Regions from separate parts of the Mus musculus genome. Here region 2 is reported to be linked to region 1. Evidence: microRNA targets listed by miRTarBase, many of them from high-throughput screens and not tested one by one. Region 1 holds a microRNA gene; the other region holds the end of a gene's coding sequence.
Evidence for each region. The annotated mature microRNA mmu-miR-409-3p reads GAAUGUUGCUCGGUGAACCCCU and lies in region 1 at 1,329-1,350, shown strand. An mRNA with a match to its seed (bases 2 to 7 or 8) in the 3' UTR can be bound and repressed. Matches are read on the target gene's strand: a 7mer-m8 pairs with bases 2 to 8, a 7mer-A1 pairs with bases 2 to 7 and ends in A, and an 8mer does both.

Region 1 (3,150 bases):
GGGCCTGCCCTTCCTTGGGTTTCCATGTTGCCAGCTCCCAGGGCTAGGCTTAAAGACGTACCCATTGTTGGTGCTGAAGGGCTAGGCCCGTACGGGAGGTCATTTTAGAGTGGATGTATCCAGGGTCTAATATACTATCTGGGGTGTGATGAGCACCAGGTTTCATGGTGGCTCTCTTTCCAAAAGGATCTTTACCTCAAAGGACTCCAGAGGCTACATCATTGTCTTGGAACTGGTCAGTGGCTGGAGCTCTCTCCAGGACAAGTGCTTGGAGGAAGAACCTGGACAAGCTTCCCTCCCCATACTGTTGACTGGATCTTGTAGCTACCGTTAGCCACCATCATCGCCATTGTGTGCCTCTTAGGAGCATTTCCAGGAGGTGATGCCAGCTGGGGAAAGAGCCTCTGTCCCACAGGTCAGTTTCCAGAACACCTACATGAAGCTGCCCGTGGCGTCTTTTCCCCGTATGACACACTGCATGTGACCAGTCTCTTGCTGCCCTGCAGCAAGGCTAGAAGCCTGTGTGAACTCTTGCCAAAATCAGAGAAGGGATTCTGATGTTGGTCACACTCCAAGAGTTTTAAAATGAGTGGCGAACACAGAATCCATACTCTGCTTATGGCCTAAGTCAATGGATCCTGACCCTTACTGGAGAGCCCTCCCTGGCGTGCTCGTGCGGGGCAGCCATACACACTGGCACAAGGGGACCCTGCGGGATCTCCTTCCGCTGTTCTTTCTCTCCTCCCTCCATGTTTATCTTTGAAGCATTACTTGCTTGGTTTATAGGACTGGATGGTCAAGCAGTTCTTGCTATGACATCACCGTGGGGGGAGGGGGCAGGTGACAGGGCGGGGATGCCAGGGTCGTGGGGCTGCAGTGGTTGGGTGGGCCCAAGGAGGAGCATCTCTGGATGATGCAGTCATTGCCTCCTCGCTTCTGGAAGGCATCGTCTCTGGGAGGGTGGTGTGGTATATGCGCAGGGTCTCAGCATCTCCCTATCTCCAGCTTACAAAGGAGAGATAGAGTAAGCAGAGTTCTGCACCCACTTCTGCCCCGAGTCAGCTCCTCGCTACCTGGGTCTCAAGGTTGTCTGGGAAGGCTTTAGATATTCTTGGAAGGTGAAAGGGTGGTAGATTGCACTGGGGAGGTGATGGAATAATTGCTTTCACGTGGTGGAGGGTGGCTCCTCACTGAATGGGGAGTTATAATCTCTGAGGGGCTCCAGGATGGTTCTTCTGGAAACTCAGCCATCGGCCTCGTTCTGAGCATCCGAGCCTCTCCGTGGTACTCGGAGAGAGGTTACCCGAGCAACTTTGCATCTGGAGGACGAATGTTGCTCGGTGAACCCCTTTTCGGTATCAAATCCCTCCAGGGAGGCCACCTCAGGGAAGACCATGGACTCATCTCGCTCTGGGGTATGGGACGGATGGTCGACCAGCTGGAAAGTAATTGTTTCTAATGTACTTCACCTGGTCCACTAGCCGTCGGTGCCCGCTGCAGCCTGCGCCCAGGATGTCACAGCCTCAGCTCAACACCTCTGCTGGTACTTGAAGGGAGATCGACCGTGTTATATTCGCTTGGCTGACTTCGAATAATACATGGTTGATCTTTTCTCAGTATCAACGCTCAGCTTGGAGAAGCTCTTGGAGTTGCAGCCCCTGTGGGGGTGGGGACAGCATGGTGCTTCTAGGTTGCTGCCTCCGCGGGGAACTGGGCTGGGTGGAACAGGCTGTGTGCTGCCTGTGTCAACCCTACTCACCATTTATATGCAATCCCCCCCTTCCCCCCAGGACAGCTTCAGGTGGTGATTCCAGCTCCAGGGTTGCTGCGGTCAACACTGGGTACTTGAGGAGAGGTTGTCTGTGATGAGTTCGCTTTATTAATGACGAATATAACACAGATGGCCTGTTTTCAATACCACCTGCCACTCCGGTCACTCGGCAGTACATACCAGGTGTCACACCACTGCCCGGTAGGTAAATGCATGGACTCTGTATGACGCTTGTCACCCCCTCTTCACTGAACCTCAGCTCTGAGGAGCCTCCTGGGATCGCACCAACCTTGTAGGCTGGGCCACGAAGCATTGGCCAGATGTGCAATGGATGGCTGTCCACTTTCCATGCCTCTTTCCCGCCACAACAATGGGTGTTTGTCCCTGTCTAAGGCTTCCACCGAGGGCTGCATGCTCAAATGCCCTGTACCCTGGGTGCTTCTCAATACCATGAGGGCTTGGAGGGGCTAGCATGATACTTAGGGAAGAGCCAGGCCAGTTGGTTACACGTGCAGTTCCTAGTATCTGAGGTGAGATTGCCCGTGACGGGTTTCCATTCTTAATGCTGGTACAGTGCATGGTCACCTCTCTTTATCATTGGCTCTTACTGTGTGAGCATGGGTGTCAGGGGAGGGACACACTTTGCTGACCCACTGGACACCACTGATGGTCAGGCATGTAGCTGACTCATCCTGACCCAGAGCCTCACATCTCCTGAGGTGGGGGTTGGGAAGTCCAGAAGGGCATCTTAGAGGAAGAAGCATCCTAAGTAGAGTCCGTGCTGGTGGTACCTGAGCTAGCTTGTCTCTGAGACGTTTGTTTTCTATCTGATGACTATCCCACAGCCTACTTCTCTGCACCATGTCCTACCCTAGACCATTTCTACTTTGAGGCATTGATGCCAAGAACTGAAGCCTTTGTGTTGGTTGACTCTCTAGTCTGTATGTGAGACCATCCCTTGGCCTGTCTTGTCCTCAGTGCCACCCTGTTGGAAATAGCACAGAATGTCCTCCTGAGTCTACAAGGCAGTGATACCCAAGCTCTGTCCCTGCTTCACGAGCACAGGGGGCCCAGTAGGGATTAGCCTGCACTTCTTTTTTTTTTTTTTTTTTTTTATTTTTTTTTTTTTTTTCATTTTTTTTTTATTAGGTATTTAGCTCATTTACATTTCCAATGCTATACCAAAAGTCCCCCTTACCCACCCACCCCCACTCCCCTACCCACCCACTCCCCCCCTTTGGCCCTGGCGTTCCCCTGTACCGGGGCACACAAAGTCTGCGTGTCCAATGTAGCCTGCACTTCTTCATGTTTCCTCCAACTTAACACTCTGGCTCTGTCAGACTCCTGTGAGCTTACTGTAGAGGCTTGACCTAGAGTCT
Region 2 (3,000 bases), not on the chromosome of region 1:
AGCCAAGGCTGGATGAGAAAGCAGGGCCACCAAGGGCAGCGAGACTGCCAAGTCATCAAGCTGGTGGCTAGGGTAGGCCCCACCAGTGCTTAACAACTCCAGAGGGCACTGAAGTCTCACCTCTCCAAGTTCACCAGGAACTATGTCTTTGGCACCAGCTGTCAATTCTGGGAAGTTTTCCTTCAACATCGTGCCTTACAGAGACTGGGGTTGACAGCTTATTGCCTGTGTTCTGCATTCAAGATCAGGGCTGGTGACAGAGCAGCAGGCCTTGGGAAAGAGGCCTGTTAAGTTTCTGATGCAATTCCTGAGGCCGATTTAGCCTCTGTTAATGTTTTTTTTTTTTTTAAAAGAAAAGCCTAATTTTAGGGTACTCTCTCGATGGGTGGAAAGCTGGTGTTCTGGGCAAGGTGCATACATTTTTTGCCATAACTGTGGGGAAAAGCAGCCTGCATAAGCATGAAGTACTCAAGCCAAACCATGCCCCAATTTACACGTGCTGTTTGGCAGGGGATGGGAGTGGAAGAGATGGCAAGTGGCTGCCACCTGTGAGCCTTCTTCTCCATTGACCCAGTGCTTCTGGAGCAGGGCATGCCCACGCGAGTTTTCTGTGCCTTACTTAAGTATGAGACGCAGAGGGCTTCCCTCTTCCCTTTGAGTGGCTGAAGAAAGGCTGAGGTGCTTCTAAGGAAGCCAGGCACCCACCCTATCCCCATTGGCTCTGTGACTGCTCAAGATAGAAATGAGCACAGCACCCAGAAGCAGGGATGGCCCCCTTTGGAGAAAGCAAAGAAACCACAACTTGGAGACAGAGCTGCTGGCTCTCCGCATGCCTGAAGACTAAGATGCCCAAGACTCAGCCAGGACACAGTGACCTGTCACTTAGGTTGGTAAAGGCTTAGGTCTGCAATTTTCACTTTACTCACCTTTACTCAGAGCAAGAACACAGGTGAGACTTCTTAGGGGTAGGTTTCCCTGTCCGTGGGTCAGAATGCCTGGAACCAGCATCTTGGTCCTGCCTCCTGCCCTGATGGCTGTGCAACCCTGTGCACCCAGGCATTCTAGTGCCTCCCCTGCCCAGGGAGATGTCCAAATCCTAGGATTGTGAAACAGAAGCCCCTGCTGGCAGGCTTGGCCAGCTACATTACTTTGTGCTTTATCCAAGAGACAGGAAGGGCAGCACCTCTGGTCTTAAGAGTCACAGGGAGCAGGAGCTACATGGATGCAGCTGGCAAAACAACTGACCTACTAAAGGCAGCTGGGGCCCAAGTGCACCTCCACCTCCCTTCTGGGTCACAGAAGGAGAGGAAAGTTGTGCTGTTGCCTGTGACTCCTTGGGGACAAGGCTGGGGAGGTGGGAGTAACGGGAGGCAGCTGTGAGAGGTAGGGGCATAGATACCACACAGCCAAGGTTTCATGCAGGACTAGGCATGGAGTATCCAGCACTGACAGCCTTGGCATTTCAGTGTGTAAAGAGCAGGTACAGAGCAAGCCACGCAACTCAGCGATGATGATAAACTGGGACAGGGCTATAGGATCGGGGAGCATCGAGCTGGAGGCTGTGCAGCAATGGAAGGGACTTGTGTGGCAGCAACATACAGATGGGTTTGCACCCAGTCCAGGGTGTGGCACAGCTGGAGAAAACTGGCAAGAGGATCCCACCTTACAAAGGAGCAAAGAAAACCCTAAGATGTGGACGACAAACCAGGCGTTTGAAAGATCTGCCCAAATGAGGGCTGCCAAGACTCATGGCCTCGGCCACTCCACGTTCTGAGCAGAGGAATTCGGTTAGGTGTGCTCAGCCAGTGGGGCTTTGGTGACCAGACTTCTTGGGTACGATGCAAGGGCCGGCGACACCCTATCACAAGGATTCTCCTACTATAGTTTCAGCCCAGGACTGTAGAGACACAGGCTGTGGAAATTATTCCTCCGCCTCAGCACCAGGATCTGGCTCCTTGCCAAAGGCTTCTCAAGCCACTAGTTAGGTCAAGCAAGCTCCCCCTCCCCCAAACTCCAGCACAGCAGGTAGCCCGGGGTCTCCCCTCCCTTTGGGGATCTTGCCGAAATGCCTGGGTTAAGAGGTCCCTTCTCACTGTAGGGCTTTGCTGGGTCCCTTGCTCTCTGTGATCCCCGAAGCAAGGAGTTGTATAGAGACTGCTTTGAGCTTAGCTCTATATTGTGGTAGCGAGAAGTAGCCTCCTCCAACTGACCAGTACTTTACCTGCTGGGGAGGTGTAGGCCTCATCCTGCCTGGTGTACTCTATAGACATTTTATTTTAGCTTTTGAAATTCACCCTTATGGCCCTGCCTCAACTTTCAGCTAACCTTGTCCCTGGATTCCTAGGCTCGCCTAGATTATCACTGGAGAATGTGGACCTGGAAGAAAGGCCTTACAGAGGGCTCGGTCACGAAAAGGGGAGAAGAGTCCTCCTTGCCACGTCTGAGCTGCTTTAAGCCCCATCTGGCTCCTGACCAGGAGATGGCCTGCCTGAGCAGCTGAGGAGGCCCTGGGTGGCTACTGCAGATCCTCTGCGCAGTGACAACCAGCAGCAGGTGTGTCAGCTCCTTGCTGGCTGTACCAGCAGGCCATTCCAGCTGGGGATGTGAGGGGAGAGGTGTCTCAGGGCAGCTTCTTTCCAAGTCCCCTGTCCCGGGGAGGCAGTGCTCTGAGTCACCTGTCACTGCTGTCCCAACTGGACAGGATATTCAACCACTGTCTGGAACCTGGGGTAACACTAGGCCTCCAAAGGTCTAGTCCAAGCCAGGGCCTCTCCAGAGGTCCAAAGAGCACTTGGTGTGGGGCTGGCAGGTGCCCTGCCGCCCCTCACCCGGGTTAGCAACCACCTTCTACCTTGATGTGCAGAATCTTCGAGAAGCCAGGCCTCCGACGCAGGGCCTGCAGACAAAGGCCCTAAGTTAGCTCTCATTAGGTTGGGCAGGTAAACTGCTGCCACCTTCAACAGCCCCAGCCAAGGGGTCTTGTGTGGCCTTAAAAAGGCA

Region 2: the mRNA of Fbxo41 is a reported target of mmu-miR-409-3p. Seed matches in the 3' UTR shown: 7mer-A1 at 330-336.

The regions. Positions count from the first base shown.
Region 1 is chr12:109,741,876-109,745,025 of GRCm38, forward strand. It overlaps Mir409 (microRNA 409), which reads left to right and starts at 1,283; the gene lies at 1,283-1,361. Mirg (miRNA containing gene) reads left to right here. Exons shown (of 8, transcript NR_028265.1): 4 at 187-415; 5 at 1,482-1,543; 6 at 1,791-1,972. Mir541 (microRNA 541) reads left to right here and starts at 534; the gene lies at 534-623. Mir412 (microRNA 412) reads left to right here and starts at 1,414; the gene lies at 1,414-1,493. It also overlaps Mir369 and Mir410.
Region 2 is chr6:85,470,193-85,473,192 of GRCm38, forward strand. It overlaps Fbxo41 (F-box protein 41), which reads right to left. Exons shown (of 13, transcript NM_001289675.1): 13 at 1-2,896. The coding sequence ends at 2,834. Among named protein-coding and RNA genes, the nearest start is that of Cct7, 20 kb to the left of the region's middle.